Linked DNA regions of Coturnix japonica. The protein of the gene in region 1 purifies or fractionates together with the protein of each later gene. This does not show direct contact. Links are inferred from orthologs where the notes say so. Each region holds a gene or a part of one and is shown in the gene's direction. Other genes may lie near its edges. The genes, in order: COPG1, NUDCD1, ARCN1, COPA, COPE and COPB1.

Region 1 (5,007 bases):
GTAGCTGTCTGCTTTGCTATGATTTGCCATGAGGGCACAGAGTACTCAAGGAGCATTTCAGACAAATGGCCAGAATTCCAGGGCATTCCCTTGTTTGTCACTGTCAGAACATAAACCAGGCCCAGTCTGTGCTTTGATTGCTGGCTTGTTCTGAGGCTGCTCACCTGTGTGCTGCTGCCCTTCATGCAGCAGTGCCTGCCTTCAGAGATGAGTCACTGCTTCCTCTCCCAGCTGAACGATATTAATCATCTGCTGTGCTGCAGTGCAAGGTGGTTTCATTTCCAAGGTGTATGAACTGATCCCTAGATAAGGGTCTCACCTCCTTCACAAGAGGTTGATGGGACACGCTTAGTTTGTATTCCCAACACAACTTGATATTCATGAGTAACAGGACTTGATCTGAAGATTATTGTGCAGCCATCGGGAGTCTGTATTTATCACTGTTTGCTGGCCCTAGCATTACAAATAAGTACTTTGTCCTTGAGAGAAAGAAGCTGTCAGCACACTTTCTAGGTCATGTGCTAAGCCTGTGCTGCTGACTGGGAGGGGGAGAACCCACCTGCCCCAAGTTTCCCAGCCCTGTTCTCCTGCAGAGGAATGGATCTGGTGGTAATGTGAGCTTTGCTTTTGCCTCCCCTGCCTGCAGTGGCCTGCACATTCAGCTGCATGATGAAATTCACTGTCAAGGACTGCGATCCAAACACGGGTGAAACAGACGACGAGGGTTACGAGGATGAATATGTGGTAAGGAGCTGGGCACGTGCCACATCAAACTGCAGTCGTCATGAGGAGTGTTGTGATCTGTACCCAGTAACTTGCCATGCAAGCAATGGTGTGCCCACTGACACTGCTGCAGATGGAATCACAGGGAGATGGGAGTCTTTCTACCCCTGTGGTGTCCGTCCCAAGATGCAGGATGTGTGTTTGGAGAGCTTGTTTGTCTCGTTTGGAGCATCCTCCTGCTGCTCTCCAGGCAGACCCCTGGGTATGCAGGGAACTTGCATTCTGGGAGGCAATGGTGTGTCCCCTGGGCTTGGTTGGCTGTGCCCTATGGGCTCCAGCAGTGGCACGGGCAGTTCTGGGGGACAGAATGCTGTTGGCCATCTCTTCTTCCCACCAGAATTGCTCTCTGTGGTTAATTATCAGTGGTCTATCTGATATAGGAGGACTGCCATCCTTGCTCTTCCTCTGGCATTACCTCCTTAGCAGTGAGACTGATGAAAGCACTGATGCTGTGAAATCTTGTCTCCTGGCTGTTTTATCACACAGGAAGCTCATGCTTGGTCAAAAACTGGAACTGCCTCCCAGAGGGTGGTGTTTTCCCTCCAGAGATGAAGGGATGTTGTGACACGAATTCAGCTTGCCTTGTTACCTTCAGAAGCTGTTTTCTCTGTGTTGCCTGTCTCTGTTGTGAATCTGATGAGGGGAACTGCTGTGCAGTGAGTCACTGAGGACATGGCATCCTCCCAGAAGGACTGGGGAGGGATTTTACCACAGGAATGTGTAGGGCTGACCCCTCTGCCTGCTTCCCACCAGGCATCAGGGCATCAGAGTGATGTTTAAACAAACTCTTCCATCTGTTTCAACTAGATTCAAGGGGAGATTCTTTCCTGCAGCAATTGCTACAGTGAATGTCAGGCCAGTTCTGGCACTGACTGCTCTTAGATATGTGCTCCAGGGGAACCAACACAGTTGTTTCTTACACAGACGTAGTCACAGCAGCAGTTCAGCTATCCTGGCATGCAGCCTTATGTTACAGCAAACATCTGACTGTGTCTCACGGTACTTTACCAGCCTACAAAACAAGAGGCCAGGAAGGTAAAATACCAGCTTATGTGCGTTCTAGGGCAGCAGATGGCACAGCAGTGTGAGCGCCAGCAGCTTTTATGTCTTGTCCACTGCTCTGGCTGTTTGCCTGGTGCTCTGATCCCTGTCAGGCCAAGGGCTGAGCTCAGGTTGGGAACCTGCTCTGTGAGCCCTGCAAGTGGCACAGCTTGGCTTCCCAGGACAAGCAGCTGCTCAACTAATTAATTCTTTGCTTGAACAAACTAGAAGGGACAGAGCTTGCTCTGATCTATTCCTGAGTAGAAGTGAAGACTTGTCTCCTGGGCCTGATCTCAGGGAATCCAGTCTGCAGCTCAGTCTGGAGAAGGCAAAGTAAGTAACAACCCTGTTTCACTTGGGCCTCTTCTTACCTCCAGCTTGAAGATCTTGAGGTAACAGTGGCTGATCACATCCAGCGAGTTCTGAAGCCCAACTTTGGAGCTGCTTGGGATGAAGTGGGTGATGAGTACGAAAAGGAAGAAACCTTTACTTTATCTGCAATTAAAACCCTTGAAGGTAAGGCAGTGTCTGAACCCAGCAGGGCTCTTAACATTTCCCTCCCTTGAGCAAAGACCGCAACACACAAAGAGGATTTGTGTGTCCTTGTCAAGGCAATGTTGTACTTCTTCTTAACAGAGGCCGTTAGCAATATCGTGAAGTTCCTGGGGATGCAGCCCTGCGAGCGGTCGGATAAAGTGCCAGATAACAAAAATTCTCACACGCTGTACCTGGCAGGTGAGCTGTGCTGGAGCAGCGGCTCCATAAGGTTGCACTGAGCTGAAAGTCAAAGCAGGAGCTCCCGATGTGCTCCCTGAGCTCCCGATGTGCTCCCTGAGCCCTGCGTGGGGTTGGGATGGACCCCATGCCATCGCTTTGTGTCTTTTGCAAGTGTAGGGTGGCTGCTATTGGAACTGGGGTGAGCTGAGGCTCAGCTGGGTGGGACTTGCAGCCTTGCTGAGCTGCAGCATCCTGTTCTGGAAGGAGATTGAGGGGAGAAGGGTGGCACTTTGCCCAGCCCATGGCCGAGTGCTGGACACTTCGTATTACAAGTGTAGCTCGCTGTGACTGAGAGTTCCCACGTGGGGTCCCTTCTAACCCCCCGCCCCGTTCCTGTCCCCTCCTTCCAGGTGTGTTCCGGGGCGGTCACGACCTGCTGCTCCGGGCTCGGCTGCTGCTGACCGACACGGTGACGATGCAGGTGACGGCCCGCAGCGCGGAGGAGCTCCCTGTGGATGTCATCATGGCCTCTGTGGGCTGAGCGCTGCCCGCCGCCTCCTCTGTGCCAGGGGAGGATAAGGGATCACGTTCACCGCAGCAGCTTCATCAGTGCATTTGGGGACCTGGATGCGGGGCTCTGTCTGTAAAATAACGCTGTTTTTAAGCTCTGATTTTACGAACCGCTTTGCCCTGATGGGCGGCTCCAAGCCGAGCTGCTCCCCCAGCCGCCATCCCGGCAGCTCCCGAGCTGACAATAAAGCCTCTCGTTGCTCCTCCTCCATCTCTGGATGCTGGCTTTGCTCCCTGCCGTCCATCTCATCGCGGTGCCCGCACACCCCGCCCCTGCCGGCCCCACCTCCGGGGGGCGGAGCGGGGCAGAGCGGGGCTGCGGGCGGCGATGTGCGGGCGCACGGCCTGCTCCCTCGGGGCCGCGCGGCTCCGCCGGGCCTGCGCCTATAGAGACCGGAGGGGTCGGAGACAACAGCCCGAGTGGCTGCGGGAGGAGCGTTACCGGCCCTCGTACAACAAGGGCCCGCAGTCCTGCGGCCCGGTGCTGCTGTCCAGAAAGCACGTCCAGCAGGTAACGGCCCCGCGGGGAGTGGGGTTGGATGGGGGGTATGTGGGTGTGGGGGGCGGGGAGGGTTGTTGGGTGGTGGTGGTGGCCGCTTGTTTTGGTTCTCAAAGTCCGTGTTACGAAAGTATCTCGTTCATATCGGCGCGGCACCGAGGAGGGCGGGGAGTCGGGGCTGCGCTGCTGCGGGGGCCGGTCGGGAGCTGCTGTGGGTTCTCCCAGCAGCCTGGAGCTGTATTGTGGGCTGGGCTGGGCTGAGGTGACACCGCTGGGGTTACCGTTATTTGAGCCCCAACAGCCCGAAGTGGGGGCACTGAGCCATGGCCAACCCACAGCTGGCGGCTGTGCATGGTCTATATGAGCTATATGTGCACAGGGAGACACAGGCTGAGCCCTGCGATGACACCCTGAAGCATAACATGGATCTCTCAGCCACCTTCACCCGGCAGTTGGAACAGGGTGCCCCTCAGTTGGTCGGGGTGTGGGTGCTTGGGGGAGCTCAGTGGGATACAGTGCACGTTTCTATGTGTATCCTCATCTACCCATGGTGTCTGAGTGCAGCCGCACTCTGTGCTCACAGCTGTGCTGCTCTGGGCAGGCACAACACAGCGCTGTGCAGGAGGAAGTGAAAGCCACCGCTCTGTTTCCACTGCCCGAGCTGAGGCAATATGCAAAGAGTGAAAGTGAACCAGAAATCACGTTATTCAAATAAAGGTGAACTCTGTGTCCCCCGGGATGTTCTCTTCAACCTCAGCACCAGCTGTTTGTTAACCAGAGGAGGGATGGAGCCACATCACCGTCCTTATCCTGCCACAGAAACCGAGCTTGTTGCTCCTGATAAACACGATGCAGCCTCGTCTGTAGGCTGGTATCACTGCAGGGTGCTGCTCTGCTTTGCTTGCAGGATGCTGACTCCTCAGAGCGGGTGCTCATGGAGATGCGCTGGGGCCTGGTGCCCTCCTGGTTCAAAGAGGACGACCCCTCCAAAATGCAGTTTAAAACCTCAAACTGCCGCAGTGACACCATGTTGAGCAAGTCCTCCTACAAGGTGAGCCCCATTGTGTGTCTGACTGCGGGGCTTGGCAGAACCATGTACTGCCACTGCCCTGGGGCTGCCCTGACCACATCCTGCAGCTCACTTCTTGCTTTGTGTCTCCTCCCCAGGGCCCTCTCCTCAAGGGCAAGCGCTGCGTGGTGCTGGCAGACGGCTTCTATGAGTGGCAGCAGCGCGGCAGGGGCAAGCAGCCCTACTTCATCTACTTCCCTCAGAGCAAGAAACACCCGGTACTGTGGCATCATCCTTAGTGCCTGAGCACTGAGCTCCACTCACACACACACACCTGGGGCTGTGCCTGGGACGAGGCAGGGAACAGCAGAACTGGGGTGTGCAGAGA
Region 2 (5,139 bases), on another chromosome or scaffold:
TGTATCCTTGCACTCAGGCCTAGGAATTTTGTTATAGCCATTGTTGGAAGCAATTGTTGGAATTAGCTCAAAAGCAGAAAATACTTAAAATATATGCATACAAGAATAATAATTGCTGTATCAGAGTAAGCAAAATATTCATCCTGGCCCTGTGCTGTACCTATTAAGTAATGGAGACAATCAAATTTCTTTTAAATTAATCAGTGTAGAATTTGTCTGCTGTAACAATTTCTGTCTTCATCTTCTCCAGGTGTGGTCTCAACCTGTTCTTTTAATAATGTCATGAGTGTGTCAGTTAATTCCCTCCATCCTCTAAATGCATTTTTTGACCACATCACTGTTAGCCTGCATCTAAAACTAAAGGGAAGATAAGCAGTTTAATTGGATAATTGGATTTGTTCTGGGTTTTTGCAATCTATTACGTTTTGTATATGAATGACTTTTTAAAGTAGCTTGTTATTTTCACTTAAGGCCATATTAAGCTCTAAATGGTTTTGTTTTTTAACAGAAGAGATTAATTTCACAGTTTATTCTTTGTTTACTTGTTTCAAATTTCATTGTACTGGAAAACAGATGATAAGGACTAAGGTTTAGGGTTTTTTTTTTCATATTATTGCTTGTTTCAAGTTTCTATGCTGACTTTTAAGTAATGTTCTAATGATGTTTTTCTATTGTTTTGAAAATAATTATATATTTGAGCTTTTTTACCTGTGGTGATTAAAAAAAAATTATTCTTTAGCCCTACTTACAGTCATTTCTCATTATTATATTGAATTTTCCAACTAGACTTTGTGCTAACCTAGTTTGCCTTTTATATGCTGAAGATGATGTAAACTATCAGCTTGTTTTTCTACAACCAAGTTTTGAACTGCTTTGCAAGAGCTAATTCTAGAAATGAATATTTTCTATGTTAAATTTCCAATATTACTGTATTGATTGTATTGGCCAAAATAATAATATTAGTGCTCTTTTCTGCTTTATTTGTTTCAACTTTTGGAATTCATTTTTAATTAATAATACAAAGAAAATAAGTTATATATATATATTTTTTAACTTTATTTTTTCAATCCAAGTTTTGGACTGAAACTTAAGGAAGGAACCAAAGGGAAACCTAAAAGACCAAGTATGTTTTGCTCCAGATGTCTGTTGTGTCAGCTTTCTCTTGGAAAGGGAGTAATGTTTGAAAAGACCTTTAGCTGATTACAGATAAATTCTAAGCATCTACTACACTTTGAAGGAGCAGCGCTTGGTCCTGCTTCTTCTTACTGCAGTTTGTTGAAGGAGGGTCTCTGTTGCATGGATCATTTTGAGACCCTAAACTGACTGGATGTGCAGGGCAAAGATTTGGAAGAAGGTTACTGTGCAAGCACTGCTCGGCTGCAGAGAAACCACTTGTGTGTTACTAATCCTGTTTTAGTTGCGAATTCAAAAATTCCCTGGTAATCGCCTATTATTTTTGAAGCTAAGCTTGATTTTGACAGCTATTTAAACTGTTATTGAGGTCAGTATATTACATTTCTATTTCTCTCTGTCTTTCTGGGCTATGCAGGTTATGTTCAAGCATCAAAACAAGACAAGAAGTTCATGGCTTGTGCCCCAGACTATTCCTATGCTGCTCTTTGCGAGTGCTTGCGGCGAATTTTCATCTATCGCCAGCCAACTCCTCTGACCACAGTTCTCTACAACAGGAAGGAAGGAAGACAAGTAGGACAGGTTGCAAAGCAGCTGGTAGCAACTCTGGAAGCCAGCAATCCAATCTTAGGCTTTCAAGCTACAAATGAAAGATTATTTGTTCTCACAACAAAAACCTTGTTTTTGATAAAGGTGAATGCTGGAAATTAATTAGTATATTTTGCTGTAGTTTATGTTTATATGTTAAAGAAATGGCCAGGTAAGTGATCTGAGGAGTTTGGTACATTTTGCTGAAGTTTAACAAGGAGATATTTTACAGGGGAATCAGGTTTTTTCATTAGAACTTACCTGTAAGTCAGTGAGAGGATTTCAGCTTCACTGTTGCTGAAATGAGCTTTTTTGGAGGCGAATAAAAATGCCTTGTGTGCGAGCAGCTTTCTAGAGACTGCAGTTTGCAGAAGTGAATAGATTTATGCATTTCTTTTTCCAGTGACTGCTTGCCAGACTTCTGAAATTTGAGAGTTCACTTCTGATTTTAACTGATAGTTTTACCTCTGAAAAAAAGTCATCAGATAAAGAAAATACAGACTCATGCTACAAGCATATAGCGTGCAGTGTAAGGAACTGCGTGTGCTTAAAAAAAAATATCCAAATGCACAGACTGTTGGCCAAAAAACAGTTTAACTCAAGTGGAAATATTTTATTGTATATCCAAATTGATAGTGTAAAATTCTGTGACTGACTCGTGCTTGTAATGGAATCTATTCACATTTTAAGAGATGCTGGAATAAATGCCAGTGAAATTTTCTTAAAACTGAATAGGAGTGAATGCGTAGCTGATGTTGATATGATTAAGAATGCAGTAAGACTTTGATTCGTACCAATGTCTCATTTTCATTTCAAGATGTGCTTAAGTGACTAATTTGCTATTAGCTAACAGAAAATGCACCTGTGTTGTAACCTGAGATGGGAAATTCAAAGGTTCTGCTGCTGCCTTAGATATCACCATAAATAACAGAATTTCTTGACTACTCTGTACCCAGTGCACAAGTCCAGATGTGGTATGTGTCCAATATAAGAGTGCACAGATGATGAGGATGCTTTGAAGTTGCTTGTTACCAAGCAGGAGTGGATCATTTTGTTGAAAAACTGTTCTTGAATATTTCTTTCTTATTTTAAAGTGATAGTGTCAATAGAATTAAACCAAAAAAGGTCAGTTTTGACAACTTCCTCTTCATTTTTATTCTCATAGTTTACATAAAACTCTATAGCAAAGGATGCCTGATGAGTAGATTTTGTGCTGTCACAAAAGCTGCAATGTTCTGTGGTACCAGAGTACTGAGTCAAACACATCCTAGTACTTTGCATCTTTGTTAATACTATTTTTGACCTCTGCAAGAATATATTGAGAAGAAAATGTCCTTTGTTATTACAGACTACCAGATTGATTTTGATTGTTTTCGCTTGCGCATAAACTCTGTAGTTTTGTATCAAATGATTAAATGATATGGTGTGAAGTTCAAGAGGGATATTAAGAAGCTCCAAGTTCAGCTTTCCAAGGAGCCTGATTTTTCTCCACTTTATGTCACTGTTATTTTGTATATCCATTTGTGAAAAGATTTTTTGTTACCTGGGTGTGTTAAAACAGATTCCATCTGCAAACCTTCACTTCTCATGCATTTTTGTTTAAACTGTCTTGGAAATACTTGTTAAAAAGCCTCAGTGAATGTATGACTTTTACATAACTTTTGCAGCTAAATTTCATGTTGAGTAACAATGCTGAACAGACATGGTAGAAATATGTAGCAGTCCATGCAGCTGATTACTTTCCAGCATAAAGTACATTGAGATTTATATGAACATTAAATAGTAACCTGACTATGGATGAGAATTTCTGGTCTTTATGAAATTCCTCCTTGCTGTAACATATATATCTGGAAACAAACTTCTGTTGTCTTCTGAAATAGCTGAAACAAAGCCAAGTAGAATAATCAGCTCTTTGCAGACTGTTATAATATGTAATGACTAAAAACATGCTTCCCTAACATGTCAGTTTCAGGGGAGTCATTGTTCTTATGGGAACAACTGAACATGGGGAGAAGTTCATCTCATGTTCCATGTTGCTTGTGTGTTCATGATTTTGGTGTTCTCAGACAGGATATGTCAGTCTCTTTTATTTCACTTTCTCTGAGAGTTAAGGACATAGTATTATTTAAAAGATTCATTGCCTTGAGGAACCTTGCATGCTGTTGCACAGCAAGCTGCTATAATTAAATGGCTGCAAGCCACAGGGAGACGTTTTCTATCAGCATTTCCATTTCTGTGTTCAATTAATTTTAAGGCTTATTTGTTTAGCATATTATTGTAGGCATATACAAAGTAGAGAATGGGGATATTTAAGACACAGTTTTCTGAGAACCATTCTTCATTGTTTTTGTAAAATTTCAAGAAATAAAATCCTACATTTGAGGACAGTGCTTTCTGAGATGTCCCAATCACAATCTGTTTAGAATGTATTGGACTATTAAAAACTTGCATTCTTTATTTCAGTGTACTTTCACAAGTATTTCACTTGGTTGGCTGCGTATTTGGAATGTATCATGTATACTTCTACAAATTTAAATGAAAAAAAAAATATCAAATTTAATAATAAAAGTTTTTAAGTTGTTTTAAAGGATTTGTTTATTTCCTGTGTTATTGAAACAAAGTAGAGAAATAGAAATAAGCGGTTCCTTAAAATAATGCTGATTATGTTAAGGAGTTTTCTGTTGAGACAGATTTCTGGGGATTGTCAGCACTGCAGGGTCATGTATGTTGCCAATACATGCACTGCTGCACTCCTTGTTCTTTGCAAACTCCTGTATTGTTTTTTAAAGGTATTGTTATTATGTTGTTGTTTTTCTTCTTCCATGTCTTATATCTGCCAACGTACAAATTTATGGGGGTAGTTTCTGGAGAGTGTTGATTTGTATCATTGTCTTAAAGTGCACATTGCATTCTCTAATCCTTTGGCGCATATAAGACCCAAATATCTAGATAGATGTTTCTAAACTGAACTGCTTTGCACATCTGTCCTCAACCCAAGGGCGGAGAGCGAAGAGTAGGAAGGGTTTGGTCTGTACTTCTCTTATGTGACAAAGTGGCTCTTCATTAATGAAACAGTAGATGCTGAGAGAGTAGCAGATAAAACTGAAGCTTATATATATATTTTTTTCAATTTGCTGTGCTTTGTTTCATTAATGGCTGTTATTACCACTATAACTCCTGAATTTCCTTCCATGGAGGAACCCATGGTGAGGCAGGAGGGCTGGGGGAGCTGCTACCTATGAGGACCTGTGCTAGAGCACACTGCTCCTGAAGGATGGGCCCTGTGGGATGGACTTGCATTGGAGCAAGATCTAAGAAGATTCTCTGACATACGTTTCTATATCAAATGTGGTTTACACCATAACAAATTGATGTGTTTTCAACTATGAGTTAATAACTCCCATAATTTGGAATTACTCA
Region 3 (5,712 bases), on another chromosome or scaffold:
CTCAATTCAGAAGAAATTTGTAAGCGTGATGCTTTGAAAGAGCAGAAAATACGAGTTGTTAACACAGCGGTACCTGAAATGCATAAGGTGTTGGACAAAGAAACAGGCAGCCCTTGCACCAAATTACATATGTGCTATGTGGGATGTTACCAAAGTGACCAGCCAGGTCATAGTGTTGCTATTTGTGATCTCCTAGGTGTCTACAGCAGTATCTGCAGCACAGGGCAAGGGCACCTCGCTACCACCAGGTCAGTGTGGCTGCAGTCTGCCAGGCTCATATCTAAACCACCTTCTGTTTCACCCTGTGTGTCAGCAGGTATGGGGATATCTGAAAACACTGTACCTTTAGGAAGGCATCAATGTCTCCAACAGCAGGAATGAAGTCTGGAATAAAAGGCTGCAGTTTGTGCTCAATCTGTATTGTTTTCGGAGTGTATCTTGAGAGAGAAAAACAACAGGATTGCATAGTGGGCAATTGACATTTCCTGCCAGAGACAAAGACCTTGAGACAAAGGAGAACCCAGGGCAGGCGAAAGCTCCTTCAACTCACCTCCTTATGTATTCAAAGAGTTCTTTAATTTCAGGAGATACCGGCAGGTAGTCATAGTTTGCGAGGTTGTAGTCACTGAAGAGAGGAAAAGCAATTCTTGCAGACATTACTTCCTATCAGTTTTTGTACAAGAACAAAGGCACGAACATGGATCCAGCTGTGCCCCAAAGCAGAAGCAGGACACTCTCACTGTAAGAGGCTTCCTGTCCGTGCACAACTCTGTTCAACCCTTTTAAGCCACGGGTTCCCGGCTCCCTCCGCTGCTCACCCCTCCAGTGAAGCCCCGCGCTCCTCCGAGTCCTCAGAGTCGCTCTCGGAGGAATCCTCATCATCGTCATCATCATCATCATCATCGTCATCATCGTCGTCCTCGCTGGCGGTGGAGGGTCCCAGCCTGGCCACTGTTTCCTTCAGGGCAGGAGGGACGCGGCCTTACTTACTGTACCGTACCGTGCCGTGCCGTACCGTACTGTACTGTATCGTACCGTATCATACCATACCGTGCTGTACCGTACCGTGCCATACTGTACCGTACCGTACCGTATCGTACCGTACTGTACCGAGCCATACCGTACCGTACCGTGCAGTACCGTTCCGTATCATACCGTATTGTACCATACCATGCCATACCGTACCATACCGTACCATACCGCACCATACCGTACCATACCGTACCATACCGTACCATACCGCACCATACCGTACCATACCGTACCATACCGTACCGTACCGTACCATACCGTGCCATACCGTACCGTACCGTACCATACCGTACCATACCATGCCGTACCGTCCCGTGCCGTACCGCCCCTCTCCCCCCGTACCTTGCTGCTGCTGCTGCCTCCTCCTCCCTCCCGGTCGTTGCCGCGCTCTCCCGCCCCGCTGGGCCGCGCTCCCGTGCCGCCTCCTCCCGACCAGATCGGCCCCGGCCGGCGGGATCCCTGCGGCCGGTTCTCGCTCCCCGCCGCCTCCTCGGTGTCCGGCAGCTCCAGGCTCTCGTCGTACGGCTGGTTCTCCACGGGCCGAGGCTGTGCGGAGGGTCGCGGGGAGGCGATGGCGCGGCCCGGCCCGTCCCCGCTCCCCTCGGCCGGCCGCCGCTCCGCCATGACGCCGCCTTCCGTCGCCATGGCGACCCCGTCTCGCTCTCCCTCTCCCGGCTAGAGCGGCGCCCGCGGCCCGGCCCCGCAGCCGCGTGTGGGTGTCGCCCCCTGCCGGCCGGGGCCGGTACTGACGCGGGCCGCCCCCAGGGCCGCGCTCCGGGTCCTCCCGCCCCGCCCCGCCCCTCGCGTCGTGCGCGGCGCCGCTTCCGGCTGGGGACGTGGCTCGGCGCCGCCATCTTGTGGGGCTGCCCGAGGGGACGCGGAGCCGCGAGGGAGCGAGCGCCGAGCCGAGCGCCGCCGCCATGGTAAGGGTGTGCCCGGCCATGAGCCGCCGCCATGGTAAGGCTGTGCCCAGAGCTCAGCCGCCGCTCGTGGGGCCGCTGCCGGCCGGACCGGGGTCGGAGAGCTCGCGGGGCCTGGCCAGGCCGCTCATCGCTCGGCGGCTCCGCTGCCGTTCTCTGGCCTCGTCCCCGAGCACTGTCGGATCGCTCCGCAGCTCCGCGATGGACCCGGGCCGCTCCAGGCCGTGCTGCCCCGCCGGGTGACGCTGCGCTCCGGGCCCGGACGTGGCGCGGCCTGTGGGAGCCTCCAGCTCCGCTTACCGGGCGCTGCCGCAGGGCGGTTGGGGGGCACTGCCCGCTGTGCGCTGCGTGATGTGTAACGTGGAGGCTGCTTGCAGCGTTAAGGCTGACATCTGTAACCAGGCCTCGTCTCTTGCTGCCTCAGCTGCCAGCTCGGGTGGAGGTCACTTGTGTCCCGTTGGCTGTGGGTGACGTGGAGCTGTGAGCTTTCCGTCCCCGAACGGGACCTGCTGCTTGGTGACAGAGGCCGAGGTGCTGCTGAGATCAGCTGTGCCATTCGGTGCTGTGCTGTGCTGTGCTGCACTCACAGCCCTTTCAAAGAGCAGTTGGGAAATGGAGGCTTATGCCTGTTGCTTTCTTCAAGATATCCCTGACTACAGGGTTCCTATGGCCACTCAATGTACAGCAGTTGCTGGCTGCTCACCTGGCCGTGCTGGGGTTCATGCTTGAAATGTACAGACACTGAAGAACTTCTGGTGCTTCTCATTGTTAGGATACTGTGATTAAAACTGGCTGGGGAGTGAAAGGATCTTACCTTTAGAAACTGCTTTATCTTCACTATGTTAATTAAGAAACTAATCTGTGAGAGAAGTATTTCAGGACGAAGTCGAGGCGGAGAGAATGAGAAAGGGTGAATTGGCAGTTACCTTAATGCCTTTCTATTGTTGGTGTGATAACATCAGTGAAATGCCCAGGAGAACCATCCACGTGCTGTAATTAATATAATGGTCAATATTTTATTAACCCGGCTTAGTTTAAGTGTGGCACTGGGAAGAGATGTCACATTTCAAAGTGTTCTGGTCTTTATTGTGACTTTTCTGCTGGGGCTGAACTAACAGATAAGTCAGTTTTTGCCTAAAGCATTGCTGGGGTTTTGTCATAGCCCTATAGGAAAAGGTGTTGCATTAGCCTGAATGGAGGACTGAGAGCTTTCAATGCTGTGTCTGTGTCCCTATAGGTGCTGTTGGCGGCAGCTGTCTGCACCAAGGCAGGGAAGGCCATCGTCTCCCGGCAGTTTGTGGAGATGACCCGAACCCGCATCGAGGGGCTGCTGGCAGCTTTCCCCAAACTGATGAACACTGGGAAGCAACACACCTTTGTGGAAACAGAGAGCGTGAGGTACGTGTATCAGCCGATGGAGAAGCTCTACATGGTGCTGATCACCACGAAAAACAGCAACATCCTGGAAGACCTGGAAACACTCCGACTCTTCTCTAGAGTGGTAAGGATCTACACGTCGGGTCCTGTGTTCACACCTGTAGCCCCAAACAGTGGCAAGCTGGTGCTGAAGCACTCTGCCTCCACCTCATAACTTGGTTATCTATGGCTTGTTCCTGACCTGGAAGTAACCTTTGCTGCTCCTGTGGTAATTTTGAACTACATGTGAGAAATCCATGCTTGCCATTTAACTGGTGAGGCCAAAGAGATGCTGCGAATGTAGTGTCAGATATTTCTATGTTCTTTAGGTAGCAACTGCATTCCTTCAGTCCTGGCTTCACATTGTGATTGAGAAGCATAGCAGTGCTCTAAATGGATTTCTAAGTCATGGGTTTTTGCAGTTGTTTTTTTAATTAACTTCATAATCTATATCTGTGCAGCTGAAGGATCTTCAAGAAACTGAGCAGCATCACAGGGTGTGTTTTGTAGTGAATTACAAAGTTAAAACTGTGCTGAAAGACTCCATAAGTGTTTTAGTTGAAGGAAAAAAATAGTCACAAAACTTCATCTTAAACAGCAGCTCAGTGGGTGCTGATTGTCACATCTACATCTGTTTGCAATGCTTTTCCCTACCTAGATCCCTGAATATTGCCGAGCTCTAGAGGAGAATGAGATCTCTGAGCACTGCTTTGACCTGATTTTTGCCTTTGATGAAATTGTTGCCCTGGGCTACCGTGAGAATGTAAACTTGGCACAAATTCGGACCTTCACAGAGATGGAGTCGCATGAAGAAAAGGTGTTCCGAGCTGTCCGAGAGGTGAGTGGAACTAATTGTGGTGCAAGGTGCTTTGGGAGCACTGCTTCTTTATGCAAAGGTGTTACTCCACTTTGGCAAGGCTTTTAAAGATACTTAGCTTTCCTGTACACTGAATACCCATTCTTTGGCATTTTGTGTTTGTAAGAAGACACCGTGAGCAGCTGTACAGAATAAAACTGAGATTGCAAAGCTTTAGCAGCTTTCATCTTTTATTTCAGACTCAGGAACGTGAAGCAAAAGCTGAGATGCGTCGTAAAGCGAAGGAGTTGCAGCAGGCCAGGAGGGATGCAGAGAGGCTGGGCAAGAAGGCGCCTGGCTTCGGTGGCTTTGGCAGCTCAGCTGTGTCTGGGGGCACAACAGCAGCAATGATCACAGAGACCATCATTGAAACAGAGAAGCCCAAAGTGGCACCAGCACCGTCCAGGTAGGTGTGTGCAGTTGGCAGCAGTTAGTGCTGTCTGAAGGGTTTTGTTTGGCTTCCTCCTGAGTCTTCATGGATAAACAGGTGCTGAAGTACCTGGTGTGTGTGTGTGGGTACATAAGGGAGTGGTCAGGTATGGCTGGCACTGGTGTGGTCTGTTGGTGTTTGTCAGGCTGGTGCTGTGTTTTGGGAATCAAGAGCTTTCTCTCCCCCTGGTCATGCAAGGAGCATTTTGTACTGTAATTATGGATTCTGTGTGTGACTCTGTCTCTACAGGAAGATAGGGAAGGGCAGGCCCCTCCTGTGTGTACTGCTACTGAAGTGAGCTTAATATTGTTGAAGTTACAACACTTGAAGATCAGACTGAGGATGGATGAAACTGCTGTGCTGAACTGACTTGGAGGTGTTTGTGTGTTTTGTTTAGACCATCAGGTCCTAGTAAAGCTTTGAAACTGGGCGCCAAAGGGAAGGAGGTGGACAACTTTGTGGACAAGCTGAAATCGGAGGGAGAAAATATCATGACTTCTGTAGGCAAACGCTCTACAGAAGCAGCCAAAGTTCTTGCACCGCCCATTAATATGGAGAGGTAGGTATTATGTGTTATGCTTCTTCTGAAAGCTGTCTTCTCACTGCTTTGTGATCTGTGTGCTGCTGTATGTATCGTTTTGTTGGGGACCATCATGCTCTTTGGAGCATGTGTTCACTGTGCGTTGACTGTCCTTGTTGACCATTAGTTTCTTCTCTTGCTTATCCAGCGTGCATATGAAAATAGAGGAGAAAATTTCCTTGACTTGTGGCCGTGATGGAGGCTTACAGAATATGGAGCTGCATGGCATGATCATGCTGCACATCTCTGATGAAAAATTTGCACGAATTCGCCTGCATGTAGAAAATGAAGACAAGAGGGGAGTGCAATTACAGGTAACATGACTGGTGTGCCATGCTGTTGTATAGGCAAAATGGCAAATACTTGTGTGTGTTGGTGTGCTGTGATCTTATCCCAGGCTTTTCAGCTAATAAATTGAAAGTGGGAGGAGTCACCACAGCCTGCAGTGTAAATACTGGGCTAGATCCTGTTGAAAAGG
Region 4 (4,953 bases), on another chromosome or scaffold:
GAAGCCTGCTACAGCAGGTGGTTCAGGCATGACAGCTGACCAGAGCAAGACTGTGAAACAGCTTTGGTTGGTTTCATGGCACGGAAGTAATGAGGAAATGGTGAAAAAGCAGGTTAGATTTCTTTATACGAGTCTTTGTTCCCATGTGGAGTGTGATAAGAGAAAGAAGGGGAAAAAGAACAGTCATGGAAGATCTTGTGGAAGGCCACGTGTTTTGTTGCTGAGGTTCAGCTAAAGTTTTAGGCTAAAATAATCCTTCATTTCTTCATAGAATCCTCCTAACTGCCCTGTGTTGTTACGTTTTTCTCTCAACAAATGGCAGATCCTCATCAAAAACTTGAAGAACGAGATTACAAAGAAGGTTCAGGTGCCGAACTGCGATGAGATTTTCTATGCTGGCACAGGGAATCTGTTACTGAGAGATGCAGACTCCATCACCCTCTTTGACGTGCAGCAGAAGCGGTAAGATCCAGTCTGCTGGGAGAAGTTTTAATATTGTAATCCTGTTGGTGTGTGCCCTCTGGGGACGAGTCACAGCTATTAATGCACTCCAAAATTCAGCATCAGCTGCAGGCTGCATCAGTCTGATCCAAACCACGGCTAACAACTGTTAGGAAGAGCAGAGTGCAAACATAGCCAAGGTGTAATTTATGCTGCAGGCATTATGCCATTGATCACAGGGAGATGTGTGCCATAGCCTTGTAAATTCTGTGACTGTAGAATCGGGAGCTGTAAAAGTGCAAAGAAATCAAAAATCGCAGACTCAATCAAGCTAAACTTGCCCAACATCTTGTCCCTTAGGTTTTGTATCTGTTCAAAATGCTCTTAAAATTGCAATATGATAGCAAGCTTGTGCTATCCACAAAGAAACAGACTGGGAATATTGTTTTAACTCTTTAATGTCAGAGCTGTCTTTTTTTCCCCAGGACTCTGGCCTCGGTGAAGATCTCCAAGGTGAAATATGTCATCTGGTCAGCTGACATGTCCCACGTAGCTCTGTTGGCTAAGCATGGTAAGTAGGCAGGGCTGCAAAGTTTAACCTGGATCTTAGGGCGAGCTTGCTCCTTCCTTAGTTAAGAGCATGATCTGCTCAGAGCTCTGGCTAGCAGCATAGGTGCAGTTGGAGACAGATTCAGTGGACCCTTCCACTTTGTCTTCTTTAAAGTCTTATAGGACATGGGCTTTCTTTTGTTCCTCAGAGGATTCAGCTAATCTCTCTTTCACAAAATAAGGGCAGGTGGTGATTTCATTGTGATTGCTTTCATGTCCTTGGTGTTTGATTCTGATTACAGTCAGTATTTCTGAGGCTGTGGAGGAGGGAAGCTGTAATTCAAAGGCAGATACTTAATAGAGCTAACTGTACTGCCTTTCTTTTCTTGTCACCAGCCATCATGATCTGCAACAGAAAGCTGGAATCACTGTGCAACATCCATGAAAACATCCGTGTTAAGAGTGGTGCCTGGGATGAAAGTGGTGTTTTCATCTATACCACCAGCAACCACATCAAATACGCTGTCACCACAGGGTAAGTCTGGGGGGTCACAGGGTGAGTCCTTGAAATGATTGACCATGAACCATGGTGATTGTTTTTGGCAGACACTAAAGCTGGTGCTGCTGTAATTGTGCTTTTAGTACAGTGTGGGTGTACCCCAAGACAGAGCTAAATGTTTGGTCTTCATTTGTGGTTGGTTGCTTACACTGTTCACTGGGGTTTTATTGCTGGATTGGGTGGCTGCACTGTTCATCTAATTGGAGCTAAAATAATAATGTAGTGAGCTTCCTTTGAGATAGGAAGTGTGGCCATACAGATGTGTTGGTGTGTCTGTCACACGTGTACTGTGTTGGCATAGGGATCATGGCATCATCCGTACCCTGGACCTGCCTATCTATGTTACTCGTGTGAAGGGGAACAATGTGTACTGCCTGGACAGAGAATGTCGCCCCAGGGTCCTCACCATCGATCCCACAGAGTTCAAATTCAAGCTGGCATTGATCAACAGAAAGTATGATGAGGTGAGGAGGCATGAGAAACTACAGTGTTCCTTGACTGTGGCCTGAGGGTTAAGGAATGTGCCTTGTGAGTGGTGTTGTCAGCTTGACTGCCTGGGTGTTTTCTTTGCAGGTGCTACACATGGTGAGGAATGCAAAGCTTGTGGGCCAGTCCATCATTGCCTACTTGCAGAAGAAGGGTTACCCTGAGGTGGCCCTGCACTTTGTCAAGGATGAGAAGACCCGTTTCAGTCTGGCACTGGAGTGTGGCAACATTGAGGTAAGATGGTGGGTAGTGCTGTGAAAAGGATGTGTCTTTGGTTCTCTGCCCTGAGGGGGAGGGGGCAGAGAATTGAGCTCAAGTCTTGTGTTAAGCAGTTCCTTCAGATTTGTTGTACTAACCACATCAGTTCTCTTGTTAGATTGCCCTGGAAGCAGCCAAGGCTCTGGATGACAAGAATTGCTGGGAGAAACTGGGAGAAGTGGCACTACTGCAAGGAAATCATCAGATTGTGGAGATGTGTTACCAGCGCACCAAGAACTTTGATAGGCTCTCCTTCCTCTATCTTATTACTGGCAACTTGGAGAAGCTTCGGAAGATGATGAAGATAGGTGAGTACAAAAGTGAATGGGATAAGAGGAGCTGAGCATCATTCCCAGAGAAACGGCAGCAGCACAGAGAAGGCCAAGAAGAACAAAACTGACTCTGTTTTGTTTTGGTTTAGCTGAGATCCGTAAAGATATGAGTGGCCACTACCAGAATGCCTTGTATCTAGGAGATGTGGCAGAGAGAGTGAGGATCCTGAAGAACTGTGGACAAAGTAAGTAATAACAGATCAATGTGTTCCTCTCTGGCCTGGGGTGGTGCTGGAGAGTATTTTGGAATGACCACTAATTTTAGGAGAGAGATGAGAAACTGAACGAAGTGGATAGAAAGCTGGTCTGTGATGTTCTCCTTCTCCAGACAACAAAGGGCATGCATTCACATTAGTTGTATCTAATTTCAGAGTCCCTGGCCTATCTCACAGCTGCAACTCATGGCCTGGATGAGGAAGCTGAAAACCTGAAGGAAACATTTGATCCTGAGAAGGAAACGGTTAGCAACTTGATCAATGCTTCATAACAACAACAACACTGCAGTTTGGGATGGTTGACAATGGGATTTCATGTTAATTTGACCAGTTTGGCAGCTCCTTTTCTGGGAGTGGGGGCACCATCTTTGTTTCTTCTCACCACGTCCCATAGACTTGGAACTTTGCTGTGTGGAGCTGGGTCAAAGATGGGGATTTTCCTTATGTGGCCCTTAGCTGTTCTTCTCTTTTTCTGTTCAGATTCCAGACATCGATCCCAATGCAAAACTACTGCAGCCTCCTGCTCCTGTTATGCCTCTAGATACAAACTGGCCGTTGCTGACTGTCTCCAAGGGGTTCTTTGAAGGCACAATTGCTAGCAAAGGTATTTCATTGTACTTGGAAGGCTGTTAAGATACTCAGAGCAGATACAATTGTTTCTATGTCTACTGAGCTGTTGCTGTTAAACCCCACATTTGTTTTTACTACAAATCTATAGATTTTTGGATTTCAGAGTTGGTATTTATGCTGCCCTTGACAAATCTAAAAATCTGGCTTTTAACGTGAGTTTTGACAGTTATTTTCTTAATGCCTGACTTACTCGGATGTGCAAATGAATAGCCCTGTCCTTCTTTTAGGTAAAGGGGGTGCCTTGGCTGCTGACATTGATATCGACAATGTTGGCACCGAAGGCTGGGGAGAAGATGCAGAATTACAGCTCGATGAAGGTGAGTGTGTCAAACAATATTTCTTAGAGAAGTGAAAACGTGTGTCTGAGTAAGAGCTCTAACTGTTGTTGGTTTCTTTTCCTCCCCTCTCCATGCAGATGGCTTTGTGGATGCTGGAGAAGGCTTTGGAGAGGAAGGTCTGGGTAAAGGACAGGAAGAAGGAGGTGGATGGGAAGTTGAAGAAGATTTGGATCTTCCTCCTGAACTGGTAGGGAGTTCTTTGAGTCATTGATGCTTTTGGAAGGTGCTTGCAGCTGGGGGTTGGGAGGGAGAATACTGATCTGGGCTTCATTAGAAGCTTGGTCGCTACAGCTGTGGCCACCTCTGATTTCATCTGAGTGCTGGGAACTAATCTCTGCTCTGTGTTGTTCCCTTAGGATGTTCCTGCTGGTCCAGCAGGAGGAGCAGAAGATGGTTTCTTTGTGCCACCCACCAAGGGCACCAGCCCAGCTCAGGTAACATCACAAGTCTTTGATGTTTTTCAGAAACTTTCTACCTTGATGCTGTTTCATTTCTTCCAGATTTAGTCTTTACTAATATTCATCTGTGTGCACAGCGCAAGAACTTATTAAGGGGATTGAGGGCAGTGAGTGTGTGTATATGCACAGTATGATTTCCCTTCCATTCTTGCAGGTGTGGTGTAACAATTCACAGCTTCCTGTTGACCACATTCTGGCAGGTTCCTTTGAGACAGCAATGAGAGTAAGTTACACTTGGTGTTTCTGGGGGGAAGGGAGAGGGGAAAAAAGGTGCCCTTGTCCCCTTCTGTTTTTGTCTCTGCCCTCTGAAGCTTTGTTCTGTGAATCATTCTGTACATTTCTTTCTCTGGATGTAAATTAAGAGGGTCTGTGAGCCTGAGTGGTGTCTATGCAGCTTCCTTATGGCTCTGGACAAGTCAGTACATCATTGTATCCCTTTCAGCTCCTCCATGACCAGGTGGGAGTAACGAACTTTGGACCCTACAAGCAGCTGTTCCTGCAGACTTACGCCCGTGGCCGTACAACCTACCAAGCCCTGCCATGTCTCCCTACCATGTATGGCTACCCACATCGCAACTGGTAAGCAATATTGGGTTAGCTCCTCTTCTGTGCTCTTTTCCTGTTGCCATATATCCACAAGTCTTCAACAGTTATAGCCCAAATTAGTTAGGTGTTCTACCTCTGCTA
Region 5 (4,206 bases), on another chromosome or scaffold:
TAGTTTGCTATGGTTGTTTTTCTGTTGAGGTGAAAGAGCTTGAGAAAGGAAACTTCAACCTTCTGTCTGCATCTTAGAGGACTAAGACAGGCCTTGTTTTCCTTTTACACAACTCCCACTTTTGCATCCACAGCAAGGAACTGAAGAAGATGCAGGAGCAAGATGAAGATGCGACCCTCACTCAGCTGGCTACTGCCTGGGTGAACCTGGCTGTAGTGAGTATCCCTGGCCTACGATATCTGAGAAACAGCATTCAGACAAGACTCTGTGCTTAGTTTGTGATGGCCTTTTACCAAGTTACCACCATCTCATTAAACTTGTTCTTTTGGTGCCTGCAACTGGTTGGCAAGAAATTGTATTGTAATGAAGAGTTTCAGATCAGCCAAAAACACGTGTTGTCTGTTAAGTCCAGATGTCAGGTGTTTGAAACCAGTCTCCTAAGATTCAGTAAACTCCAAGGTATGCGTGCAGTAACCTGTTACAACAGTAACAGTAACCTGGGGCTGAGTTTTCCTTAAGATCTTATTTTCCTCTAGGGAAACATTCATCCTCTAATCAGTGCAAGCTGCTGCATCTGAAACCTTTCTAAAGCAGGAATGTTTTGAAAAGCCAGGTGTCTGTACCTGGGTTTAATTGTAAGATCTCATTTCATAGTCTTTTATTACGTTGTAATGTTCTTCCAAACATTAAGTCGGTGTTCTGAAGTGGTTCTTTTGAAATGTTTCTTGATCTTTTGATCATTTAAGTGCTTCTTAATATTTAATATTTTTGCATTCCTTTCATCTGTAGTCTTACAGTGATCTCTCAGAGGAGACTCTGTGAATGACAATAGCTCATTTTATAACCCTTCAAATTAACTTCTTGGCCCCTTTCTTTAGCCACAAAAACAGAATACAGCCTTCTTAGCAATACACAGTGAAACTGCATGCTTGTGTCCTTTTGCAGGGTGGTGAGAAGTTACAGGACGCCTATTACATCTTCCAAGAGATGGCAGACAAATGCTCCTCCACCCTCCTCCTGCTTAATGGGCAGGCAGCCTGCTATATGGCTCAGGGCAAGTGGGATGATGCAGAGGGGGTACTTCAAGAGGCACTGGACAAGGTACTTAATGGTTTTGCCTGGCAAATTGGCTTGAATCTAACTATCTCTTACGCATAGAGGCTATAACAGCAAGGAATTTCATTATGCTTTATGAAAATGTCCCTAAGAGTGGTTGCTATTAACATCTGCCTTCTACTCTACCTGTTCTATTAAAGTGAGCTACGGGCTCGTCAGTTGTTCTTGCACAGCAGTGCCAGGTGTTACACTTATTGTGTTAGGGATAAGTCACAAAGACAGGTGATTGTTTTTCTTTCCAGGATAGTGGCCATCCTGAGACCTTGATCAACTTTGTTGTCCTGTCACAACACCTGGGCAAACCACCAGAGGTGAGGCTTATTTTATGGTACTCAAGAAGCAGATCAGGCTGCTCTGCCTGGGGGCAGGTTGTGTGTTCCTACTGTGCCTGATAACGTTTGGGTTTTGCAGTCTTGTGTTCTCACTGGGATTGGTGTTAAGAAAATAAAATAGATTTGGAGTTTTGGGGTGCGGGGTGGTATTCAGTATTCAATAAAGTCTGTCTGTAGACAGGGGTATGTACTTCAGAGGAAAACCTGGGGTGGAGAAAGAGATCTCCCAAGTTCTGAGCTTGATTTTCTCCTTTTGTTGAATCTGCTATTGAAGGTCTTACTGATTTAAATGGGGCTGCTAACATTGAGGGTGCTGAAGAAATCAGCTCTTAGCTCATTGAGAACGAAGTCATAGAAGTATCGGTTTAAACTTTTTTGGCTTTTCTTGGTGTTATTTCAGTATTTAAATCTCCCTTTTTCATCCCATCAGGTTACAAATCGTTATTTGTCACAGTTGAAGGATGCACATAAAAACCATCCGTTCATAAAGGAGTATCAGGCAAAGGTACTTGTTATTTTGCGATATGAAACTGAGTTTATAATGACTTACAGCAACAAGAGGATGGGGCAGAGGGATTTGTTACTAGTAAGCATGTCTATGGTTCTGAAAGGGTCGGCCCATGTTCCTTCTCCAGCATCTAACCACTGCCAGCAATGTTTCTAGCCCTTGTGAGATGCATTGGGAAATGATCAACATCCAGATTGAGTATCTATACGACATATATAGATGAAGTATACCCTGAATTTGGTGGCATCTGGAAAGAAATGCTTTGAGGTCCATCTAACCCAGATTACAGACTTGTTTGTTAGGTTGAGACACTGCTTAAATAGAGAAAATCTTCTGGATGAGAAAGAATGGAGGGGATGGGCAGAGGAAGATAACAGGGAAGGGAGAATGAAATCATAGAGAACTGATGTGGACAGTTTGCTTTTTAGAATTCATTTTGCCCTGGTTGATAGAACTCTATAGCTGAGAGTTACTGCAAGTTTTATGACATTTTTCAGTAATGTTTGAAATTAGTTCATTATATTTTTGTTTCTGGTTTGAAGGAGAATGACTTTGACCGACTGGCCATGCAATATGCCCCCAGCGCCTGAGGAGAGGGGAACAGAGCTGCTCTATGGTACCTGGGAAGTGGGGTTGTTATTCAGATCCTTTCTGGTCACATGGAAAAATGGCCTTTGCAAGTTGGGTCTGGTGTAACTCACTGTGGCAGGGTCTTGCAATGCAGGAGAGCGTTGCTAAGTCTGTATATAACGTGTAGCTACTTGAACTTGGTAGCTAAAAAGCCTGTGTTGTGGCTTTCTTGGGGTTTCAACTGTTTAAAATACGAATCAAGTTTGCAACACTGTACCTTAAACATTCCTAATAAAGCCTTTTCTGGATCTGTGTGCCCCTTAATTTACATTCTGAAATGTAAATTAGTAAACAGAAGTGATTCTGTTCTGAGCCATGTCATGTACTGAGGATGTTATACCTATGGGGGCAGAGTGTGAAGGTTCACTTCAAGTATCAGACTTGGGTTGGTGGATGAATCCTGAGTCCTGGCTGTTCTTTCAGTCTGATAATGACTCCATTTAGGTTAACGTCCTCCGGAAGAAGGATGCACAGCTGTAGGGGTTACTGCTGGGGAGAGGGAAAGCTTCCCCAGAATAGAAATAATCCAATTGTAACAGGCTCAGCCCTGATCTTAAGTTGATAAATGCAACATCTCGTGTCCTGGAGCCAGGAAAGCATTAGAGCTTTCTCTTAACAAAGTACATCCTGCAATACATGCAGAAGTCTATTTATCCCCAGTCATTCCTGAGAAACGTGATGGTCGTTGCACCTGACGTGTAATGGAACATAATAGAGCACCGTGTGATGATGCCTTGGACTCCCGTGCAGCATTTCAGGCTGCTCTTTGTGTTGGTTGGTTGTGTTGTGTCAGAGATACGAAGATCCCATCTGGATCCCTCAGCGGGGCCTCCTGAGCTCTAATATTTGATTTCTCTTTTGAATTTATCTTTTGGGAAGCGTTTTTGGGGGGGAGGCAGAAGAGGGGGTTTATACTACACTGTAAATGTGTCCAACTGGCATTTCCTTTGTGCCCACCTCGCTGTGATCGCTCTGAAAGAGCTCGTTGTCTCTTTCCTTGGCTTGTTTAGCGAGCAGCTCTTTTCAATGAGGGGTTATTCGTGGTCCAGTCTTGGATGAATGTTTCCTTTGTGGAGCTGTCTGAGGGAGATGTGAAAGGGGCTTGTGTGCTCAGGGCAGCCATTACCCACTTGATGGGCCATGATAAATTGACTTAAAAAACGTAAACAATAAAAGCAAGTGCCATAGTAGGAGCCAGCGCTGTCAGTGTGAGAATAGGAGGGGGGGGATGTGTTGGTCAGAGCTCTGAGAAGAACGAGTTTGTGTTTTCTCTTTGCTGCCCCAGACCAATTAGAGAAGTTGAAATGACTCTGCTGGAATGGCTGTGGGCAAAGCAATGACTTTTAGATTGCTTCAAACTCATCGCTTTACATAGAGTTCCATAGATGGGTTTTCTATTTATGAGCGATTATTTGTCTGTTTCTGGTTAGTAGGGAGTATTTCTGCTGCACTCAGGTTGTCATTGAGGTGCATTAGGCACCAATTGCTGCTCGGTGGCTGATGCAGAACGCGTTGCTCTGAGGTTCCTCAGCAAGGAGAGACTTTGTGTCAGCATTTCACATCGATTGCTTTTAATTGTGAGCTCCTTGATGATTTCTATGTTCTATGATCCAGCTGGAA
Region 6 (5,139 bases), on another chromosome or scaffold:
GTTCCGCCATCCTCAGTTTCCACTCTTAAATCTTGTGCCCACTGTCGTAGCTTCCTCATAGGTTGATTCAGCTTGTTAAACTGGAAGAAGACTCTTCCTTTCTCCTTTTCTTTTGCTTGGATGCTTTCAGCTGGCTTGGTAGTTTGGACCAGTTCACCTGGAGAGGCACAAGAGCACAAAGAAGATAGTGAGAATATAGTGGGGATCAGAGGAACGAGTAGGCAAGGGAAAAGCTGCTGCATCCTTTCAGTGGCAGCCAAATATCTGTGTACTTCTGTCATCTGTAGCCATACCCTGTCATATTGGAAAGATTTTTCATTTCTGGGTTGTTTTTCCCTTTGGGGAACGTCACGCTCTTGGGTTTTTGGGTGTTTTTTGTTTTGTTTTTTTTTGTAAAATGGAAGGTATTTCAAAAGTGGCTTCTCAAGAAATCCAAGCATCTTCAAATGATTAAGTCAGCTGGAAAATCATTTTTATGTTGTTTGTTAGTAAAATCTGTTAACTCTGGGATGGCTTTATTTGCTTGTTTTTTAGGTTGTCTGATACTTGTGTCAAAATAAATCTCCCGCTGAGAAAACATTAGTAACCAGGAGCCATGACTGCTGCTGAGAACGTGTGCTACACGTTAATCAATGTCCCAATGGATTCGGAACCACCTTCTGAAATCAGCTTAAAAAATGACCTAGGTAAGTAATGGATGCTGATTATTAGAAGGATCATCCATCATTCCTGTATCACTCTTCCATAGTGTCCTTACACTTTTGCTGCAATATCGTTTGCATTTCATAAAATCAAGCAAATGAGTGTTTATCTTATGTTGATGTTTGAAATGTGTAAATTCTTCTGCTTGCTGTTTGAGAAGCTTGTGATATTTATCTTATGTGACTTTTTTGTCCAAATTCTGAGTAGAACTTTGACATCTGTTTCAGTCTTCATGCAAAACAATACGTGTTGAGGTCTGGGCGGGCTTAGCTAATGGAAGTATGTCAGTCACTGTTCTGTACACAGCTGTATCTTTCTTGTCAGTATTTAGTATGATACCAAAGCACATCATAGTATCCTGGTGTATAAGAAAGATGGTTTAAAGCAGTGAAACAGGAGTAAAATGATTGTAATATCACAGTGCATTGGAGTATTCTGATTTGAAATGCTGTTTCAAAGCATTGAAGCAGTGATGCAATCTGTTGAATTCATTTAATTCCAATACATTGATCCCAGAAATAAGTCTAAACTCTAGGCTTATTCTTTAAATACCTCTTGCTTCCTCTTTATGCTCTTAGAAGTGAGGGTGTGGATTTTATTGAGATGTTAAATTGCACTCTGTCAGGGAGAAGTTGTATCTTCTGACCAGAAAACAGCCGGTCCTATCAAACTGTCATGTTAGCCTTCCTAAGTATACAATTACAGTGATTCACTTTCTTGAATTTTCTATCCACTCTAGAAAAAGGAGATGTCAAGTTGAAGACAGAAGCCTTGAAGAAAGTGATTATTATGATTCTGAATGGCGAAAAACTACCCGGGCTTCTGATGACCATTATACGTTTTGTGCTGCCTCTCCAAGATCATACCATCAAAAAGCTGCTGCTTGTCTTCTGGGAGATAGTGCCGAAGACCACTCCAGATGGCAGGCTTCTGCAGGAAATGATCCTTGTCTGTGATGCATACAGAAAGGTAGCTCCTTGTTTACTTTACTACCTATGTTCACACACTGTACTTTTTAGAAAGTGTTTCATTTTCTGTTATATAAAATATATGAAAATGTCTTATGCTCTGCATTTCCTTGCAAACCATTTTGTCTTAATGCTTCATAGCTGGCTGAATTGTAGGTAACCAGCAAACCAACTACTAATGAATCTTCATGTTGCTTGTTACAATTAAACGTTAAATGCTTGATCTTTCCAAGTCGGAGTCTTGAAGATGAGGGGTGACCTCATTACCACCTCCACAGTGTCCTTGGACACACAGTGGATCAATAAGAGTAGATGCTGTATTTGGCATGTCTTCATTGCAGTGTATTTGGGATACTCCATCACAAAGATAATCCTTCATTTGCTGTGGGAATAGACTGCAAGCAGATGAACTAATACACAGTAGAGGTTAGTAGCCACTGTGCTGGAATGCCTGCAGGGTGAGCTTTCACAGGCTTAGGAGTCACAAACAATATGTGCAGTGCAGCAGAAAAAACTTAGGACTTGCAAGTTTTATTACACAGATTTGCTCATTTTAAATTTCATTGGACTTCAGTATTTAATAAAAAGGTAAGGAAGCATCCTCAAACTTTTGGAACTTGCTGTATTGAAAAACTTAACTTGGGAAGAGGCTAGCAAGTTCATTCACCTGAGCTTAGCAATTAAACTGTAGTGTCTGACATTTCAAATGTGCTTCTTGATTGTAGGATCTTCAGCATCCAAATGAGTTTATCCGAGGCTCTACTCTTCGTTTTCTTTGTAAGCTGAAAGAAGCAGAACTGCTGGAGCCTCTGATGCCAGCCATCCGTGCGTGCCTCGAGCATCGTCACAGCTATGTGCGCAGAAATGCAGTCCTTGCAATTTACACCATTTATAGGTAAATGCCAGAAACTGTTTCAAGTGGCTGCAGAAGGCTGTATTTGGTGGCCTGGGTGGCTTGTGAGACCTAATAAATATTTATCAATCACTAATTAATTTCTGGGAGCTGGGAGGAAGAGAAGGTTGCCATGGGGTGTGGTTTTTTGTTTGCTTTTTCCTCTGTAAAGAACCAGTTTGGAAAAGTGGAAGGTACTGCTCTTGCTTTTGTAGCTGTCGCTGAGATTCTTATATTGCAGGTTAATATGTAAGGACAGATGCCTTTCTTAGTTATCTAAACTTCATAAACAGTAATTGTTATCCACTAATATAAAAAGAGAAAAATCTTTACAGGAGTATAAGCATATAAATTTATTTGAAGTAAGACATTCTTCCTCTACTCCGCTTACATACTGAATGCTATTGCTTTTTTTTTCTTATGTAAACACTATGACCAAGTGTTGCTATTAAGCCGAAATCATATATGGAGTCATATTTTATCTGTCATAATAGCAGACAATTTTTTTGCTCACTGGGCAATGACTGCACAAAAGCTTTATGTTGCTCTTTCATGCTTTTCATATTCAATTACGCTGCATGTTCTCCCCCTTATCAATAGTCTTTGAATTATGGAGAAATTTTTTTTATTTTTTTTTTTTTAAGAAATTTTGAACATCTTATACCCGATGCTCCTGAATTGATCCATGATTTCCTAGTGAATGAAAAGGATGCGAGCTGCAAAAGAAATGCATTTATGATGTTAATTCATGCAGATCAGGTAAGGATACTTGCCCCCTAATTTCTTTAGAGTAAGTATCTGAAAATGCCCTGGGTAACCAGCCAGTAATTTGTTAGAAGTGTGAACATATTCATAAAAAAACAAACAAAAAACATGCATGTGACAGCTGTACATGAGCTGTGGGCTGTTCATTAACTGTAGATAAATTAACATAGGTCTTTAGTGCTGTCCTCATTTTAAAGGACAGTTGGCTGCATTCGAGGAAGACGTATGTTGTTGCTGGAAACTGTAATCAGTATTGTCTTGTGAGCATTACTGGACTGAGAAGACTCCCATTATCTATCATTTTATAGCTTTTGTAGTTTTATGAGAAAGAAATGGCAAGTTCTGTTCATTTGCTATGCTGGCAATTGATCCTTGTGCCTGATTACATGTTAAGCGTGTCTTGCTTTTTGCCATGTGTAGCCAGAGTTTATTAATTTGGTCTTCACATTTAACGTTTCTCCATCAGTTCTGAGCTTTCAGTCGAAAGGTTGACTGTGTAGTTTTGTTCTGATCGCTGATATGGGTGAGAGGTGGATGTTTGGACTGGATGATCACAGAGGACTTTTCCAACCTTGGTGACCCTATGACTCTCTGATTTTTAAAATGTGCTTTACTTTAAAATGTAGCTGAGAACTCTGAAATAACTTAGAATGATTTGCATTTTATTTGTTTAGGATCGAGCATTGGATTATTTGAGTACCTGCATTGACCAAGTCCAGACATTCGGTGACATTCTACAGTTGGTTATTGTTGAGCTGATTTATAAGGTAAAAGGGAAATATATTGTGATGTATTTAAAACAATACAGGTTCTATTAGAGCCCTCAGCAGAACAGTTAGAACACAGCTGGAAAAGGCATTTTAGCCACTTGTGTGTGTCATTCCAGTATTGCATACTGTTTTCGGTTAAAGTTTAAATAGCTTTTTAAAGTAGATTTTTGCAACTGTGAGTGATGCTTCTTATGCCCAGAAAAGGTTGCCACCATTTGCTTAATTTTCTTTGTATGTAGGTCTGTCATGCCAATCCATCAGAGAGAGCTCGCTTTATTCGCTGCATCTACAACCTGCTACAGTCATCGAGTCCTGCAGTGAAATATGAAGCAGCAGGAACACTAGTTACGCTCTCCAGTGCACCGACTGCAATCAAGGTATAGAAGTGCTGTTTCCAGACATCCCACTACCTGCTGGTGCACTGTAGTGCTGTGTATTATACCTTGTACTTTTGAAGTATGAAGGCTTCAGGAAAATGTCAGTTTTGACAGTTCGTGTGTAAAACTGTCTTAAAACGTCTCTTAAAATTGCTCAGAAGAGACTAGGACTGTATGTTGCAGATTTGTGGCTGGTGGACCTCATGCCACTTGCTGATGGACAGGCTTGTGCATCTGTGCAATTTATCACAGTAGTTGGTATCAACCTGCTGTTTTCTTGACCTTCTTGTTAAAGATGACCAGTATTGAAGATTTCCAGAGATTGAATTACTTTCATTACTCTGAAATGTGATTCTTTTTCAAAGTGGTAACGCACGGCTTTGAAGATCTGTGTTGATTCCTGCTTGACCTCACATTCCTATTTATCTTTGTGGTGTTGATTACTTGAGATCATAAGGGAATTCTAAATTCTAATGAAAAATAGAATATACCAGTCTAGAATAAGAGTAAAAATATTGTAAATAGTAGCTTCAAAAGAAGTGTATTAATTCAGGTGTATTAATTCTTACATTCTTGCTTTAGTGCAGTCATTTTCCTTGAGTATGTGTATCATACGGAGAAGCTGTCATTAAAACCATATCTAGATATGCTAACACTGTCAACTA

What was found.
Region 2: the proteins of COPG1 (region 1) and NUDCD1 purify together in Homo sapiens (affinity purification with mass spectrometry; 3 studies listed by BioGRID and IntAct, counting the BioPlex papers as one, with this or other methods). This does not show direct contact. The link is inferred for Coturnix japonica from reciprocal best matches to the Homo sapiens genes COPG1 and NUDCD1.
Region 3: the proteins of COPG1 (region 1) and ARCN1 purify together in Homo sapiens (affinity purification with mass spectrometry; 6 studies listed by BioGRID and IntAct, counting the BioPlex papers as one, with this or other methods). This does not show direct contact. The link is inferred for Coturnix japonica from reciprocal best matches to the Homo sapiens genes COPG1 and ARCN1.
Region 4: the proteins of COPG1 (region 1) and COPA purify together in Homo sapiens (affinity purification with mass spectrometry; 6 studies listed by BioGRID and IntAct, counting the BioPlex papers as one, with this or other methods). This does not show direct contact. The link is inferred for Coturnix japonica from reciprocal best matches to the Homo sapiens genes COPG1 and COPA.
Region 5: the proteins of COPG1 (region 1) and COPE fractionate together in Homo sapiens (co-fractionation; 6 studies listed by BioGRID and IntAct, counting the BioPlex papers as one, with this or other methods). This does not show direct contact. The link is inferred for Coturnix japonica from reciprocal best matches to the Homo sapiens genes COPG1 and COPE.
Region 6: the proteins of COPG1 (region 1) and COPB1 fractionate together in Homo sapiens (co-fractionation; 11 studies listed by BioGRID and IntAct, counting the BioPlex papers as one, with this or other methods). This does not show direct contact. The link is inferred for Coturnix japonica from reciprocal best matches to the Homo sapiens genes COPG1 and COPB1.

The regions. Positions count from the first base shown.
Region 1 is NC_029527.1:6,778,113-6,783,119, forward strand, and holds the end of COPG1 (coatomer subunit gamma-1), read left to right. Parts: intron 1-646; coding exon 647-744; intron 745-2,201; coding exon 2,202-2,340; intron 2,341-2,460; coding exon 2,461-2,559; intron 2,560-2,951; coding exon 2,952-3,082; 3' UTR 3,083-3,322; downstream 3,323-5,007. Other genes in the region: abasic site processing protein HMCES, read left to right, coding at 3,440-3,622, 4,518-4,661, 4,778-4,897. UniProt on the Homo sapiens protein: The coatomer is a cytosolic protein complex that binds to dilysine motifs and reversibly associates with Golgi non-clathrin-coated vesicles, which further mediate biosynthetic protein transport from the ER, via the Golgi up to the trans Golgi network.
Region 2 is NC_029517.1:119,459,085-119,464,223, reverse strand, and holds the end of NUDCD1 (nudC domain-containing protein 1), read left to right. Parts: intron 1-1,549; coding exon 1,550-1,842; 3' UTR 1,843-4,301; downstream 4,302-5,139.
Region 3 is NC_029539.1:4,766,720-4,772,431, reverse strand, and holds the start of ARCN1 (coatomer subunit delta), read left to right. Parts: upstream 1-1,784; 5' UTR 1,785-1,952; coding exon 1,953-1,955; intron 1,956-1,971; exon of another isoform or gene 1,972-1,986; coding exon of another isoform or gene 1,987-1,989; intron 1,990-3,189; coding exon 3,190-3,453; intron 3,454-4,026; coding exon 4,027-4,206; intron 4,207-4,424; coding exon 4,425-4,630; intron 4,631-5,051; coding exon 5,052-5,213; intron 5,214-5,382; coding exon 5,383-5,548; intron 5,549-5,712. Other genes in the region: IFT46 (intraflagellar transport protein 46 homolog), read right to left, coding at 344-437, 551-625, 819-958, 1,375-1,677. UniProt on the Homo sapiens protein: Component of the coatomer, a cytosolic protein complex that binds to dilysine motifs and reversibly associates with Golgi non-clathrin-coated vesicles, which further mediate biosynthetic protein transport from the ER, via the Golgi up to the trans Golgi network.
Region 4 is NC_029540.1:868,031-872,983, forward strand, and holds part of COPA (coatomer subunit alpha), read left to right. Parts: intron 1-322; coding exon 323-462; intron 463-926; coding exon 927-1,012; intron 1,013-1,386; coding exon 1,387-1,525; intron 1,526-1,850; coding exon 1,851-2,013; intron 2,014-2,122; coding exon 2,123-2,269; intron 2,270-2,411; coding exon 2,412-2,601; intron 2,602-2,714; coding exon 2,715-2,810; intron 2,811-2,996; coding exon 2,997-3,085; intron 3,086-3,320; coding exon 3,321-3,444; intron 3,445-3,697; coding exon 3,698-3,787; intron 3,788-3,885; coding exon 3,886-3,995; intron 3,996-4,164; coding exon 4,165-4,242; intron 4,243-4,420; coding exon 4,421-4,489; intron 4,490-4,708; coding exon 4,709-4,845; intron 4,846-4,953. UniProt on the Homo sapiens protein: The coatomer is a cytosolic protein complex that binds to dilysine motifs and reversibly associates with Golgi non-clathrin-coated vesicles, which further mediate biosynthetic protein transport from the ER, via the Golgi up to the trans Golgi network.
Region 5 is NC_029543.1:2,777,807-2,782,012, forward strand, and holds the end of COPE (coatomer subunit epsilon), read left to right. Parts: intron 1-133; coding exon 134-215; intron 216-945; coding exon 946-1,101; intron 1,102-1,358; coding exon 1,359-1,427; intron 1,428-1,878; coding exon 1,879-1,953; intron 1,954-2,498; coding exon 2,499-2,546; 3' UTR 2,547-2,850; downstream 2,851-4,206. UniProt on the Homo sapiens protein: The coatomer is a cytosolic protein complex that binds to dilysine motifs and reversibly associates with Golgi non-clathrin-coated vesicles, which further mediate biosynthetic protein transport from the ER, via the Golgi up to the trans Golgi network.
Region 6 is NC_029520.1:14,573,687-14,578,825, reverse strand, and holds part of COPB1 (coatomer subunit beta), read left to right. Parts: intron 1-534; 5' UTR 535-595; coding exon 596-686; intron 687-1,441; coding exon 1,442-1,671; intron 1,672-2,395; coding exon 2,396-2,565; intron 2,566-3,206; coding exon 3,207-3,321; intron 3,322-4,001; coding exon 4,002-4,094; intron 4,095-4,336; coding exon 4,337-4,474; intron 4,475-5,139. UniProt on the Homo sapiens protein: The coatomer is a cytosolic protein complex that binds to dilysine motifs and reversibly associates with Golgi non-clathrin-coated vesicles, which further mediate biosynthetic protein transport from the ER, via the Golgi up to the trans Golgi network.